Saccharomyces cerevisiae S288C: one gene and its partners. The gene in region 2 interacts genetically with the main gene of each other region. Each region holds a gene or a part of one and is shown on either strand. Other genes may lie near its edges.

Region 1 (3,398 bases), on a different chromosome or scaffold from region 2:
GCTCATCAGATATGAAAATTTGGTCAAAGGTTAAGTCGTACCAAACAGACCCCTGGGGAGCAACATTTGATTTGGACGCCAACTTCAAAAAGCTTCTTCTACAATTCGGGTATCTTGTTATGTTTTCTACAATTTGGCCACTAGCTCCATTTATCTGTTTGATAGTCAATTTGATTGTTTACCAAGTCGATTTGAGGAAAGCTGTGCTTTATAGTAAACCTGAGTATTTTCCATTTCCAATCTACGATAAGCCATCCTCTGTGTCTAATACCCAAAAACTGACGGTTGGTCTATGGAACTCTGTCTTAGTTATGTTCTCCATCTTAGGTTGTGTTATCACTGCTACTTTGACCTATATGTACCAGAGCTGTAATATACCAGGTGTCGGCGCTCATACTTCCATCCATACGAATAAAGCTTGGTACCTAGCAAATCCAATAAACCACTCGTGGATAAATATTGTACTATATGCTGTTTTTATTGAGCATGTTAGTGTTGCTATTTTCTTCCTTTTCTCTAGTATTTTGAAATCTTCCCATGATGACGTTGCAAATGGCATTGTGCCAAAGCATGTAGTTAACGTGCAAAACCCACCAAAACAAGAAGTCTTTGAAAAAATTCCCTCCCCTGAATTTAATTCGAATAACGAAAAAGAACTAGTTCAAAGAAAAGGGTCTGCGAATGAGAAGTTGCACCAAGAACTCGGTGAGAAACAGCCTGCCTCTTCTGCCAATGGATATGAGGCACATGCTGCCACTCATGCCAACAATGATCCGTCTTCTTTATCCTCAGCCTCCTCGCCTTCATTATCTTCTTCTTCTTCTAGCAGCAAAACCGGTGTAGTCAAAGCTGTTGATAACGATACAGCCGGATCTGCTGGTAAAAAGCCATTGGCCACAGAAAGTACTGAAAAAAGAAATTCTTTGGTGAAGGTGCCTACCGTTGGCTCATATGGTGTTGCGGGCGCCACTTTACCAGAAACAATTCCAACATCTAAAAATTACTACTTAAGGTTTGATGAGGACGGTAAATCCATTAGGGATGCGAAATCCAGTGCAGAATCTTCCAACGCCACCAATAACAACACCTTAGGCACGGAAAGTAAGCTTTTGCCAGATGGTGACGCCGTTGATGCACTAAGTAGAAAAATTGATCAAATACCCAAAATTGCTGTTACTGGTGGCGAAAATAACGAAAATACCCAGGCCAAAGACGATGCTGCCACTAAGACTCCACTCATTAAAGATGCAAATATTAAGCCTGTTGTCAACGCAGCTGTTAACGATAACCAATCGAAGGTTTCAGTGGCTACTGAACAAACAAAAAAGACTGAAGTAAGCACGAAAAATGGCCCATCAAGATCTATTTCCACGAAGGAAACTAAGGATTCTGCGAGACCATCTAATAACAATACTACTACTACTACTACTACAGATGCTACTCAGCCCCACCATCATCATCACCACCACCGCCATCGTGATGCTGGAGTGAAGAATGTCACGAACAATTCTAAGACAACCGAATCCTCTTCCTCTTCATCGGCGGCAAAGGAAAAACCAAAACATAAAAAGGGGCTATTGCATAAGCTGAAAAAGAAGCTTTAAAAAAAAGCTAGGACGATAACAAATTTTATTTTTATAATATGGTGACATTAAATTAATATGTATTCTTCTTTCTATCAAGTGTATGTTTTATGTATCTCTAATTTTAAAAGAATAATTCATTTTACCTTGTGCAGTGTTTTCATCAAACAGAAATCTCAAGATTTAGTTTCTACGCATGCATTGCCTCTTTCTTCTTCGTTCGAGAGGAGTCACAGCTAGGATTCATTACGTATGTTAGTCACACGATTATATCCAGGGGGGTAGAACATACCGACCATAACTTTTTTGCCGTTTTTCTATTAACCGCGGCTTCTATCAGGAAACCCTTTTTCAGCAAATTAAAAGAGAGCGAGGCTAAAACTCTCTGGTGGCAGTGAAAGATTCTAGGCCGGGTCCAGTTTCTAGGGGTAAAATAGAGCGCAAAAGATCTCGGTGCAGATCTAAGGCGGAAGAAAAGGAAATGTGATCCGATTTTTTATGGAAGCAAATAGAAAAACAGGATCAAACGCTTTTGTGGGCGGGAGATGTTATTATGTAACGGGGCTTTTATTAGCATGTGAAATGCTTTGTAGAAGGGCATCCCTGGAGCCCTTTTGGGCCTTACAGTACATGTTCAAGATTGGCCGACTATTAGCAGAACTACAACTAGGGTTGCAGTGGGAAGTATGAACGATAGGGGTAAGTCTAAATGTGATATAGTTACAGCTAATAATATCTTCTTGCTTAGTTTTGTTGAATATATGTTGCTTCTGAAGTACGTGCAGTTACGTCAGTGCGCGCATACATGTTATCCATATTCCTTTTTCCTCTTTTTGACCCGCACTTCATTTCGCGGTTTTTTTTCTTGTTTTGGTTTGCCCCCATTAATTATCTGATCTGGGCTTTTTCTGGCAATAAGTAGTTATCACCGGATCATCTCATTATTATAAAAGGGACAAAGGACTTGCGGCTCCAGTTTGTATAAGGGAAAGCGGCGCACTCTTCATTCGATAGGGGCTCAAGTTACCAACTACAATAAATTACATTATACTATAACATGTCATCTGCTCTATACAAACAAAGCACAAATTTTACTCATTCTACCGGTTCTTTCTTGCAAAGCGCACCTGTTGAACTGACGACAGTCAGTGGGTACCAGGAGTTTTTGAAGAAGCAAGAGAAAAAGAACTATGAAATTCAAACAGTTTTAAGCGAGGATAAATCACATGGTTATGTGCTAAAGGACGGCGAAGTCATCGCTAATATCATTGGTGAGGCCAAAGATTATCTTTTGGATTTGGCCGGCCAGGCTTGAACGAGTGGCTAAATATTTGTTCGATACGAGTCACTTCATGCACACTTTGATTTGCACTCTTATTGCTGGGCTGTAGTTTTCTTTTCCGTTTTCGCTTATAAATCTAACATGTTCTATTAGGGGAAAGAAAGGCGCAAATTGTAGAGTTTGTTAGGTCTTTTAAGTACTTGATTTCACCAACCGAAAGTGAAAGAAATAAAAAAAGATAAAGCTATTATTATTACCATGACCCTGTCATTGGTTTAAAACGTTTGTCCGTCTGCTTTTGATGTTTTTAAAAAAAATTTAAATAAATATTCTAAATAAGTGAATTACAGGCTGGTAGATAGTTCGTATACGTATAAGTTTTTCATTTAATTAATTTCGTCTCTATACCTGGACGCATTGTAGTTGAGTTTTCTAGAGATTTGGAGGTGTCTTAAAGCATCCGAACTGGGAGGTCTCGCAAATCAGAGGTCTTGGTCAAAAGTGCAAAATTCTTTAAAGGACGAATACTGAAA
Region 2 (8,930 bases):
TCATCGAGAAAAAGAATGTCCTGTATTGTCAAAATTCCGGGTCTGAACCCAGGGGACGAGCCTAGAGCACTTTTAATTTGTAAAGGTGCAGATTCCATTATATACTCAAGATTAAGTCGCCAGAGTGGTAGCAATAGTGAAGCTATTTTGGAAAAAACTGCTTTGCATTTAGAGCAGTACGCTACTGAAGGTTTAAGAACGTTATGCATAGCTCAAAGGGAGTTAAGTTGGTCTGAATACGAAAAATGGAACGAAAAGTACGATATTGCTGCTGCATCATTAGCAAACAGAGAGGATGAATTAGAAGTTGTTGCAGATTCCATTGAACGCGAATTGATATTATTGGGCGGTACAGCTATCGAAGATCGTTTACAAGATGGTGTTCCGGATTGTATAGAGTTGCTTGCAGAGGCAGGAATTAAATTATGGGTTCTTACGGGTGATAAAGTTGAAACAGCTATAAACATTGGATTTTCTTGCAACCTTTTGAATAATGAAATGGAATTGTTAGTTATTAAAACAACTGGTGATGACGTGAAAGAATTCGGATCAGAACCAAGTGAAATTGTGGATGCTTTACTCTCCAAATACTTGAAGGAGTATTTCAACTTAACCGGTTCAGAAGAAGAGATTTTTGAAGCTAAAAAGGATCACGAATTTCCGAAGGGTAATTACGCCATCGTTATCGATGGTGATGCTTTGAAATTGGCGCTATATGGTGAAGATATAAGAAGAAAGTTTCTTTTACTCTGCAAGAATTGTAGAGCTGTCTTATGCTGTAGAGTATCTCCATCTCAAAAAGCAGCCGTTGTTAAGTTAGTCAAGGATTCTCTAGATGTCATGACACTAGCCATCGGCGATGGTTCCAACGACGTCGCCATGATTCAATCTGCGGATGTTGGTATTGGTATTGCCGGTGAAGAAGGTCGACAAGCTGTTATGTGCTCAGACTACGCCATTGGACAATTCAGATATTTGGCTAGATTGGTCCTCGTTCACGGTAGGTGGTCTTATAAGAGACTGGCAGAAATGATTCCTGAGTTTTTTTACAAAAACATGATTTTTGCTTTGGCATTGTTCTGGTATGGTATCTATAATGATTTTGATGGGTCTTACCTGTATGAATACACATACATGATGTTCTATAATTTGGCATTTACATCCCTACCAGTCATCTTCTTAGGTATTCTGGACCAGGACGTGAATGACACAATATCATTAGTGGTCCCTCAGTTATACCGTGTTGGAATTTTAAGGAAAGAATGGAACCAAAGAAAGTTCTTATGGTATATGTTGGACGGATTATATCAGTCTATTATCTGTTTTTTTTTCCCTTACTTGGTTTATCACAAAAATATGATAGTTACGAGCAATGGGTTAGGATTGGATCATCGTTATTTTGTCGGTGTTTATGTGACCACTATTGCTGTAATTTCGTGTAACACATATGTTTTATTACACCAATATAGATGGGATTGGTTTAGTGGATTATTCATTGCACTGTCTTGCCTCGTAGTTTTTGCATGGACGGGAATATGGTCTTCTGCGATAGCTAGTAGAGAATTTTTCAAAGCTGCAGCGCGTATCTATGGAGCACCTTCATTTTGGGCTGTTTTCTTTGTTGCCGTGCTGTTCTGCTTACTGCCCCGTTTCACATATGACAGTTTTCAAAAATTTTTCTACCCAACTGATGTGGAAATAGTAAGAGAGATGTGGCAACATGGCCATTTCGATCATTATCCTCCTGGTTACGATCCAACAGATCCCAACAGACCCAAGGTCACAAAAGCTGGGCAACACGGAGAGAAGATTATAGAAGGCATAGCACTTTCCGACAACTTAGGAGGATCGAACTATTCAAGGGATAGTGTTGTCACAGAGGAGATTCCAATGACTTTCATGCACGGTGAAGATGGAAGTCCTAGCGGATATCAGAAGCAAGAAACCTGGATGACTTCACCCAAGGAAACACAAGATCTTCTTCAATCGCCCCAATTTCAGCAGGCCCAAACGTTCGGAAGAGGCCCATCAACCAACGTCAGGTCATCCTTGGACCGCACAAGAGAACAGATGATCGCCACTAACCAACTAGATAACCGCTACTCTGTGGAAAGAGCGAGAACATCTCTAGATCTACCAGGCGTAACTAACGCAGCCTCCTTAATCGGAACACAACAGAACAATTAATAATGATATCCGAACCATAGCTGATGGAACTCCGCTTTTCACTGTATATATAATATTACATAATATTACTGGATAAGCCTTAGAAGCCTTAGAAGCCTTAGAAGCCTTGGAATTCATGCATACTACAGCGTTAACTCTTTCTTTTAGCAAGTTTTAGTAGCGGACGTGTGGGTTTCTTTGTTCTATAATTAACACTCCCGGTTAACCCGGATCGCTATTATTCAAGGACGCACAATGGTGGGCTAATTTTTTCTTCCGATGGAAAACTGACGCCAGCACTTTCCAGCGCTGGGAACTCTCCACTAACTGGCAAAAAAATTGATTAAGGTCATGATCAAAGGAATTTTTGAAATGTTGTAAAGTAGAGTTAAGAATTAATCAAGCCGTGATACGTATGTTTTTGACTAGGTGAGAGACTATATTTATCAAAAATAGTTTTTTATACTAACAGAAAGTTTATTATATCATAGAAATCCTAGGCCTATTGTTATTATTTGCGTGAAAAAAGGTTCATGCCTAGTTATTCAGGATATTAATCAGGCATAGTCATAGTTTTGTAATACACGTCTTTCACTCCTATTTCCGGTTAACATTCGCTAATATCCATCAAATTATTGACTTTTTTTTCAGTGGATTTGTTGTTAATAAAGGAAACAATCAGATCAGCCATTTAGGGAAGTCTTTTAAGAAAGCTCAGAAGGAGATCTAAGACAAGAAGCAAGGCAGTCTTGATTTATCGCTCAAAACCAATAGCACATGCCGAAGAATAGTCACCACCATCGTTCCAGTTCGGTTAATTCCACAAAGAGTCGTTCTACGGAATCTACGAATAAATGGAAAATTCCGCACTATTATCGCAGATCCGCTAGCGGCAGCACACAAGCTTCGCCGGACAGGAACTCCTCAACAGGCTCATGTAGCACTCCAGTATTACCTACTATGAATGTTATGTCTAGCCCGAAAAAAGTTTTGCTAGAGGATCCCAGAGACAACCATACTAAGGCGAAGAAGAGTAGTAGAAAGAAATCAGGTGAAATGGTCTTCGTCAATTATACTGTACAGGACACGGCTAACGAAAATGATACTGACTTGCAAACCCAGCCGGTTTCTGTGCCAGCACCAAAGGCGAAATTAAAGAAGAAATCCTCCAAAAGGAGAATGCTGAAGATATTTGGATCGTCAAAGAACGAACACATAGAGGACATCGTTGAAGAGCAACCAATGGTGCTTCAAATGGATTCAGAATCTAAACCCCTTTCGGGAACCCCTATCTCAGAAAGCGGAATCGACGCCTCGTCACTAACAACCAAAAGATCTTATAACTCGTTCTTAAAACACAATAGGCTAAACGGTAAAACTCCGTTCTCTGGAAACTTGTCCTTTCCATCATTAAACATGATGGGTAACACTACTGATCTGCCTATTGACAATAACGATTTTTGTTCCGAGAAAGAAGTCGTTCCGAAATCAACTCATGATCCTTCACTAGCAAAACCGCCATCAAGGTTCACTGAAAGCGAAACAAATTCTACTCCCAACTTATCAAGTATACCTCTCATGAACACAAAAAATACAAGATTGAAGTACAATAAAGTGGCGCCTCAGAGTTCAGACCGACAAAAGTCACAGGAAAGTGGGCTATATCATTCTACCGAATCATTCAACTTCAAAGATCAAAACTACAGTAACAATAAATCCTCTTTAAGTCTGAACTCCGATTTAAGTACACCCCACTTTGCAAAGCATTCACCTGATTCACCAAGAACTTCAAGATCTTTCAACTGCGGAGACTCACAAAGTAAAGTTAAATTACCGGAAGAAAATGACGCTTCTATTGCATTTAGTAAGATGTTTACTAGAAAACGAGCCAACACTGGCGGGTCCACGTGTTCGCTAGCCTCACCCACTATTGCACAAACTATTCAGCAATCAAATATAAAAGTTAATAAATTGCCAACTCAGCGAACCACTTCAGTTGGCTCATTATCATCCATGTCAAATCGTTATTCACCAATAAGAGTTGCATCGCCAGGAAGAGCAAGATCCGCAACTCGTGGGTCTTCCCTTTATAGATTATCCAGAGACCTTAATTCTTTACCAAGCGTCACTGATCTACCAGAAATGGATAGTACAACCCCAGTTAACGAAATATTCTTGGATGGCCAACCACAGCATAAAAGTGGCAGTGTCAAAGGAGGGCATAGGAAGAAACAAGAATCTATCTCTGATGCTCAAAGAATTCAACATTCTAATTCGTACATTACAACACCTTCATCTTCTCTGGTGACTCCTCCTTACTACATGACAGGTTACACATTACCAAGTTCTGCATCTGCTTCTTCAACTCCAAATGTGCTTGAAACACACAATATGAACTTTGTTCCAAGTACCAGTACTGTTACAAGTTATCGCCCATCTAGCAATTTTTCCTCATTTGACAAAGAATACAGTAACGAAAACGACGCTAGTGGGGAATTCTCTGCTTTCAATACTCCAATGGAGAATATACCGGCACTAAAAGGTATACCTAGATCCACGTTAGAAGAAAATGAAGAAGAGGATGTCCTAGTACAAGATATTCCGAATACGGCACACTTCCAAAGAAGGGATATTATGGGGATGGATACTCACAGAAAGGATGACAGTTTAGATTTTAACTCTTTGATGCCACACGGTAGTACAACTAGTAGCAGCATCGTAGATTCTGTTATGACGAACTCAATATCCACTACAACAAGCAACGCGACCGGAAACTACTTTCAAGATCAAGATAAGTATACATTGGTAAATACGGGATTGGGATTGAGTGATGCAAACCTCGATCATTTTATTAGATCTCAATGGAAACACGCTTCTCGATCAGAATCCAATAATAATACCGGAAATCGCGTTTCTTACAGTGGCTCAACACCAAACAATGTTGATACAACAAAGACTAATTTGCAAGTGTATACCGAGTTCGATTTTGAAAACCCAGAGTCGTTTTTCCATGAGCAATCGAAGCTACTAGGTGAGATGGGCCACAGCAATAACAACAGCAACAGCGCCATCAACATGAATGAACCCAAGTCTGCGGATACATACATTGGAAATATATCTCCGGATACTTCAGCAACTGTTTCATTAGGCGACCTGATGGGCTCAAACGTTTCAAACAACAGTGAAAGAAATTTTTACGATGGTCATACTTTCGTTCCACAGTATCAGGCGAACTCATCTGTGGAAAACTCAAATAATCAAAATGCAGCACCAATTGCAAATAACGACATTGATAATAATTTACAGTCTTTTTATTTTGATAATAGCAACTAAAAAAGGAATGAAAAAAAAAAAAAAAAGTTCAAAAATAGTAACAGATATCTTTCGAAAAAGTTAAAAACTGGTAAAAAATTTTGAATAGAGTATATAAAAACTAATAAATATGTTTAGTTATCATACACCATAGAATAACTACTAGAGATATTATTTCATTTTCGTTTTCATTTTTTTTATTTTTTTCTTTTCAATAAGGTAACAGAAAGTTATTTATGCATTCTTGTTCTACATGTCTTATGTATACTAATAAGCTACTACAGGTATTTTGGTAGTATGGCTTTTAAATGAGTTATTAATTCTTGATCAGTCCCTGTAGGATTATCAAACTGCCACCTAATCGCTTCGTTATTAATTTTACCCAGCCATGGACCTGGCTTCATTTGAAGTAGTTTTGCCATTTGTTTTCCGTCCACTATTGGTTTTAGTTCATGACAATTATTCAAATTATTGTCAAATATGTAAGAATAAAATTCATTGTAATTTTGGAAAAGTAATTCAATTTTTTTAGTTTCAAGCTTGGGAATCTTTAAAAATGCATCTGATAGAGATGCAAAATGTGCTGTTTCCCATTCGCCATTAAAGTTCCGTAGAAATATACCGATTTCGGATTTTTTTAGCTGGGAACGATCTGCAAACTTAGCAAGTATTTCCTCATATGAACATATTGAATCTACGGTCTTGGCAATAACTGCTGCATCATTTTTACTCAGCTTCAATCCTTCCTTCACAATGCTTTCTGTCACCGAAACCAGGTTGTTAATTTTCTTCTTTGGGTTCCCGATTATTTGTAAATTAGCCATGGGGGACAGGATCGCACTCAATATAAAATTTTGCTGAAATCCTGGCGAACGACCAATTTTTTCCCTTAAGATAGGAAGCTTCTCTAAAAACATTGGATATAATTCAATAAAACTTTTCAAGTGTGAGTTTAGTATGTTATCATTGTATACATGATTAATTTTGTCCATATCTTGACAATTCTCTTCGTTGAATTTTACGACGGAGCTATCATTATGCCAAAAAAAGATAACATTTTCAAGATGAGCCCTTTGAATCAGCTGCAAAGCCAATAAAGGGGTTGGTCCTACTAATATTTTCTCCATCTCCACACCAACTCGCTCTCTAGAAATTTTTGAATTGAATGCAACATTAATCTGAGGATCGCCCATTTCAGCCATCACTTCCGGATCTATGGTAAAGTTGAATCTAGAAGCAAAACGGATCAACCTCAAAACCCTCAAGGGATCATCCAAAAATGTTTGTTTTGCAGGAAGCGGAGTACGGAGAACGCCATCTTTTAGATCTTGCAGACCTCTCTTGGTGAAATCTTCCACTTCACCTTTATGAATGTTATAGAAAAGAGCGTTCAATGTAGCATCCCTTCTTAAAGCGTCTTCCTCGGGTGTGCCAAAGCACACTTTAGGTATCCTGGAAAGTTCAGTATACTTTTCAGATCTTAAATTGACAAAATCCACTTCAACGCCAAAGAGCTTAGTAGTGGCAGTTTCCAGATGCTTGGATTTCTCGGGATTCTTGTCAATCTTGTGGATATTATGAGGCTTGGCTCCATATTTGGCGTAATGTTGTTGCAAATACTCGTTCAAACCAGTAGCAAATTGCTCACCTGACATCACATTGATGGCAATATCCAAGTCGTGAGAACCTTGTCCCAGAAGCTTGTCACGCACCCATCCGCCCGTGATCCGAAGAGTCAATGGCTCAGGCTTATTGTGGTACTTTTGATTGTACAAGTCTGTATAATCGTTCAGCAAGTTACAGATGTTCTGTTCCACTTTGGTTAAGGTGATTTTGGGTGCATTTAGAACAAAATTAGAATTCGTCATCGTTTTCTGAGCAGCACTATTCATCAGTAGAGATATAGTAGACCGTAGCATACACAAAAAAAGCCCTTATAACCCACGGATACGAATTAATCTCGAGGGAAGCGTTGCGATGTATTATGTAGTTTCCTTTAGTACATTGTTAATATGGTAGATTTTTGCGATTCATTTTTCAACTTTTCAACCCTAACGAATGTTTTTTAGGGCTGAGTAACGACAAGAACACAACCCTAAAAATCAGATGACCTAAGGGTTTGGTGAATCGAGAAAGTATGCCCTATTTCCCCCGCCCATACACCCCATAAGCCTTAACCGCAGCCCTCCTCTCCCCTAAACGTTTCTTTTTCTTTTTCCATTTTTTTTTTTTTTTTAGTTTTACTTTCTTTTTATTCGGAAAAATCTTTTCTATATTTTTCAAGGGTAACCTCATCGCCATGCAATTAATCACATAGACTCCTTAAGTAACAATGGCAAGGCGATAATTTTAAGAGAATTGCAGACGCTGTACATAGATCGTTATCAGCAAAACATATATTCGCATCGAAGGCGTTGCTTGTCCCTGAAGTAGCTACTTGCGGTTTTCATCAAGCGGCCAATTTAATCATTCTATCAGCATTATTTTAAAATAGGGGGACTTAACCTTTCTATTAGTACCACTTATTTTATAGATCTGCTGGAGAAAAATAAACAGATAAAAAAAAGGGAAAAAAAGAATAAGACTGTCTTGGTGAGGATATTCAGTTGCGTGAAATCATGACGAAACTAATCGCTCCTTCAGAAATCGTGGGCGGAGTGCCCGTCTTCAAACCCACATACGAGCAATTCGAAGATTTCTATGCATACTGCAAGGCCATAAACAAATATGGCATGAAAAGTGGTGTTGTGAAAGTAATCCCACCTAAAGAATGGAAAGACAAATTAGATCTGCCTTATTCTGCGGAAACGCTCCAAAAGATCAAGATTAAATCACCTATTCAGCAGCATATTTCTGGTAATAAAGGTCTTTTTATGGTGCAGAACGTGGAGAAAAACAAGACCTATAACATTATACAGTGGAAAGATCTTTCTAAGGACTATGTGCCTCCGGAGGATCCTAAAGCAAGACGTAATTCTAGGAAAGGCTCCGTTTCCAAATCCACGAAGTTGAAACTGAAAAATTTTGAATCGTCTTTTAATATTGATGATTTTGAACAGTTCAGGACGGAGTATACAATAGATTTATCTGACTTCCAAAATACGGAGAGATTAAAGTTCTTGGAAGAGTATTATTGGAAAACGCTAAATTTTACTACGCCTATGTACGGCGCAGATACACCAGGATCAATCTTTCCTGAAGGGCTGAACGTTTGGAATGTTGCCAAACTACCGAACATCTTGGACCATATGGAAACAAAGGTTCCTGGGGTGAATGACTCCTATCTATACGCTGGTCTATGGAAGGCTTCTTTTTCTTGGCACTTGGAAGATCAGGACCTGTATTCCATAAATTATATTCATTTCGGTGCCCCAAAACAGTGGTATTCGATACCGCAAGAGGATAGGTTCAAATTCTACAAATTCATGCAGGAGCAATTTCCCGAAGAAGCC
Region 3 (4,455 bases), on a different chromosome or scaffold from region 2:
GTCTAGGATTGTGCTTGTGCATTTCTTCTACGACATCTTGAGTGAATGCGCCTGCTTGTGTGGAGCAGCCAACCAAACACGTTGGTTTGACGTTCTCCACCACATCATGTAAAGAGCGGGTGTTGATACCAGCCCATTCCGCATCACTCTTAGCGTATACGTGTTGGGCGGGAGTGGAGTTAGCCTCGTAAGATTGTAGAATTAACCCACGTCTGTCCATCAAGAAGATTTTCTTGCGCGCTTCTTCCTTGTCAACGCCGTGCGTGACCATATGATTCACAATTTGATCTGCGATACCGAGGCCCGCAGACCCGGCACCGTAAATAAGCACTCTGGTGTCTTTCAAGTCTCTGTTGGTATGTTTCAAAGCAGCAATCAACGAGGCCATCACGACGGCACCGGTGCCCTGAATGTCATCGTTGAATGATGGCAATTCGTACCTGTACTTTTCTAGTAATCTTCTAGCGTTCTTAACACCGAAATCTTCGAAATGCAGAACGGCGCTTGGATACACTTTCTTAACGGCCTTGATGAATTTTTCCAAGAAGTCGTCATATTGCTTACCCCTGATTCTGGAGAACTTGTTACCCATGTACAATTCGTCACGGGCTAGTTTCTTGTTGTTAGTACCGACGTCCAAACACACAGGTAGCACACGGCCGGGATGAATACCACCGCACAGCGTCATCAATGCCAATTTGGAGATAGCAATACGTACACCACCGATACCTTGGTCACCAATTCCCAGAATACCTTCCGAATCCGACACAACGATGTAGTCTACATCTTTGTCTCCACCGTATGTAGCCAATCTACATTCGATGGAATCAGGTTCGGTAATGTCTAAAAACACACCTTCTGGCTTTCTGAACCTGTGGGAATAGGCAGCAATAGCATCACCTTCGGTTGGGGTGTAAATGATAGGAACTAATTCCTTGATATGTCTCCTTATTAATGCAAAATATAGGACTTTGTTCTGTACTCTCAAAGACGTCATGAAGTCGTTTTTGGCCAAGGGCGTCTTCAAATAGCATAACTGCTTGTAGCTTCTTTCCAGTTGTTCGTCCAAAGTGTTCACTTGTGGTGGTAGCAATGCTTCTAAATTAAACGCTTCCCTTTCTTCTTGTGTAAATGCAGAACCCTTGTTAAATAAAGGAGAGTTTAAAAGTTGAAAGCTCTCCAAGGGACATTCTATGGCACCTTCTACAGTCAAACGAGTGGCATGTGGGTGAGGAGCTTCGAAGATCTTTCTGGCGCGAGAACCGACGGGTGTTTTAGTGACCTCCTCGTCGCTGTATGGCTTTTGGAAAGTATTTTCTCTTGTTGTGGTAGCTTTATGCGATCTAGTGTTAGAAGAATATAAACGCGATTGCTGAATAGGCCATCTTCTTAATGGTGCTGTCCTTGATGCTGTCAAGGATCTGGTTAGTTGCGATCTAGCAGCAACGGAAACGGATAGTCTGGTTCTAAGCATAACCGTATTTCTACCTTTTGTCTTGGTATTTATGTGCACTAAACTCGTTAAAAGTTGTAGGTTTCAAAAGCACAAATATCCGAAGCTGGACACAATATACGAGTAAGTATAAAGATACGCATATATATATATATATAATATGTCAATCATGCCGGTAACGGGTACGACTTCGAAACTCTATAGCGCTAAAGCTGTAGACCAAAGGAAGTCAAATGGAGCATACGCGGTACAGTAATAGGAAATTGCGAAAATTTTTCACCATAGAAAGGCGATGATGAGTCGAAGCCAAGGGGACTCAGTCACTCAGTCAGCTGATGCGATGCGATGTTAGCGCAAACAATAACGCGTACGATAATAAAACTTCAAATGCGCCAATTCTTTTTTTTTTTTTTTTTTTTTTTTGATTTCTTTTCATATATCCGATTTAAACCGCCTAGGGAAGAGTAAAAACCCGAATTGTTCCGTCTATACTTGGTTGTATGGGTGTTTTTTCTTCGATGCTTTTCGTATAAGAAGATATGCAGTGAATATCTTTCAATCGCCTTGAACGGTTGACAAGACGCAAGAATTTGAAAAACCTTGCAATGCACGATGCAATATTCAATTTGCACACATCGAAACGAATTGGTATCGAAAATAAACGCGAAACATATGAGAAATTTTTCTAACTTTTCTTCCTTCGTTAAGAGTGATCCTTGCACTGTGATGAATCGCTATAATTGTTGTAATGATTGACACTGGGTGAAGGGCAAAGGATGTCCAAATGATAAAAAAACAAAAAAATTTGGAAGTGTAAATTGTACCATGGGCGAATTTCAGGTTACTATTGTAGTCTGGTGAGTTAATACGTAATAATACTTGGTTTTTTTTTTTGGTTTTTTACTAAGCGTTACCGTGTGTAGTGATTATCTAAGCGGTTCTTGCAAGATTAGGAAAAAAGCTAATTAAGTGTAAACTTGGCAGCATGATTGCTCGTCCTAATCGAGCCAAAGATAGAAAACTACTGGAAGCAGCTGCTGCAGTGAGTAGAGTATGGATAGACCTATAGATGATATTGTGAAAAATCTTTTAAAGTTCGTCGTTAGGGGGTTTTATGGTGGCTCCTTTGTACTGGTACTCGATGCTATACTATTTCACTCGGTCCTAGCTGAAGATGACTTGAAACAATTGTTGAGCATAAATAAGACGGAACTGGGGCCGCTAATTGCTAGACTAAGATCAGACAGGTTAATATCCATACACAAACAAAGAGAATACCCTCCAAACTCAAAAAGTGTGGAAAGAGTTTACTACTATGTAAAATATCCTCATGCTATTGACGCAATCAAATGGAAGGTCCATCAAGTCGTACAAAGATTGAAGGATGACTTGGACAAAAATTCAGAACCTAATGGTTACATGTGTCCGATTTGTTTGACCAAGTACACACAATTGGAAGCTGTACAATTATTGAATTTTGATAGGACAGAATTTTTATGTTCCCTATGTGATGAACCGTTGGTGGAAGATGATTCTGGTAAAAAAAACAAAGAGAAGCAAGATAAATTAAATAGGTTAATGGACCAAATTCAGCCAATCATTGATTCTTTGAAAAAGATTGATGATTCAAGAATTGAGGAGAATACTTTCGAAATTGCATTGGCTCGCTTGATACCACCTCAAAATCAATCACATGCAGCATACACGTACAATCCAAAGAAAGGCAGCACCATGTTCAGACCGGGAGATTCTGCTCCATTGCCAAATCTTATGGGTACTGCTCTTGGTAACGACAGTAGTAGACGTGCCGGTGCTAACTCTCAAGCCACATTACACATCAACATTACCACGGCAAGTGATGAAGTGGCTCAAAGGGAATTGCAAGAGAGACAGGCTGAAGAGAAAAGAAAACAAAACGCTGTCCCTGAATGGCATAAACAGAGTACCATCGGTAAAACTGCTCTTGGTAGACTGGATAATGAAGAGGAGTTCGATCCTGTAGTTACTGCATCTGCCATGGATTCTATAAATCCTGATAATGAACCTGCACAGGAAACATCCTATCAAAATAACAGAACTCTGACCGAGCAAGAAATGGAAGAAAGAGAGAATGAAAAGACGTTGAATGATTACTACGCTGCTTTGGCTAAAAAGCAAGCAAAGCTCAATAAAGAAGAAGAGGAGGAGGAAGAAGAAGAAGAGGATGAGGAAGAAGAAGAGGAAGAAGAGATGGAAGATGTTATGGATGATAACGATGAAACTGCTAGAGAAAATGCATTGGAAGATGAATTTGAAGACGTAACGGATACAGCTGGCACCGCAAAGACAGAATCAAACACCTCCAACGACGTAAAACAAGAATCGATTAATGATAAGACTGAAGACGCTGTAAATGCTACTGCCACTGCTTCAGGTCCGAGTGCAAACGCTAAACCAAATGATGGTGATGATGATGATGATGATGATGATGATGAGATGGACATTGAGTTTGAGGACGTTTGATATGGTCCGTTTTTTTTAAATCTTACCAACTAGCTCTTACAATGTAGAACCAACTTTTCCTTTCTTCATTTTCTTCTCTATTGTATCAAGCTTCTCTTAAAATCTAAAAAAAATGAGAGAAAAAAAAAAGAATACGTCTGGAAAAAATCACATGAAAAAATTTCAGAAAAAGAAAGCGGAGCTACTAGACATATGGCATCTTTATAGTAATAATAAAAACATTACTAGTGAGAATATTGAGGTGTAAAAAATATTTTTTCGAGCATATTTAGTTTATATATATTTAATAAAGAACCTCAACTTATAGAAGGCACAGAAGGATTGCTTTATCATTCAACCAAAGTACAAAAATAATATGGTAGAGAAGGATACATGGAAACTGATAACTGCCACTGCACTATTCACTGTGGCAGTGACGACGATTACAGATTATGCTTGGACCAGTTGGCAAGCACAAAAGCAAGTAATTGCGCAACAAAAAAATAAGAATAAAGGTGGGC

Evidence for each region. A genetic interaction does not mean that the proteins touch.
Region 1: mutations in CCA1 (region 2) and YBR085C-A together harm fitness more than expected from each alone (negative genetic interaction), as found in Saccharomyces cerevisiae (one large-scale study listed by BioGRID).
Region 3: mutations in CCA1 (region 2) and TFA1 together harm fitness more than expected from each alone (negative genetic interaction), as found in Saccharomyces cerevisiae (one large-scale study listed by BioGRID).

The regions. Positions count from the first base shown.
Region 1 is NC_001134.8:418,407-421,804, reverse strand, and holds YBR085C-A (uncharacterized protein), read left to right. Parts: upstream 1-2,640; coding exon 2,641-2,898; downstream 2,899-3,398. Other genes in the region: IST2 (Ist2p), read left to right, coding at 1-1,604.
Region 2 is NC_001137.3:515,273-524,202, forward strand, and holds CCA1 (tRNA adenylyltransferase), read right to left. Parts: upstream 7,398-8,930; coding exon 5,757-7,397; downstream 1-5,756. Other genes in the region: aminophospholipid-translocating P4-type ATPase DNF1, read left to right, coding at 1-2,187; BCK2 (Bck2p), read left to right, coding at 2,944-5,499; RPH1 (Rph1p), read left to right, coding at 8,097-8,930. UniProt on the Saccharomyces cerevisiae protein: Nucleotidyltransferase that catalyzes the addition and repair of the essential 3'-terminal CCA sequence in tRNAs, which is necessary for the attachment of amino acids to the 3' terminus of tRNA molecules, using CTP and ATP as substrates. tRNA 3'-terminal CCA addition is required both for tRNA processing and repair.
Region 3 is NC_001143.9:383,252-387,706, forward strand, and holds TFA1 (transcription factor TFIIE subunit TFA1), read left to right. Parts: upstream 1-2,506; coding exon 2,507-3,955; downstream 3,956-4,455. Other genes in the region: MAE1 (malate dehydrogenase (oxaloacetate-decarboxylating)), read right to left, coding at 1-1,474; TCD2 (tRNA threonylcarbamoyladenosine dehydratase), read left to right, coding at 4,311-4,455. UniProt on the Saccharomyces cerevisiae protein: Recruits TFIIH to the initiation complex and stimulates the RNA polymerase II C-terminal domain kinase and DNA-dependent ATPase activities of TFIIH. Both TFIIH and TFIIE are required for promoter clearance by RNA polymerase.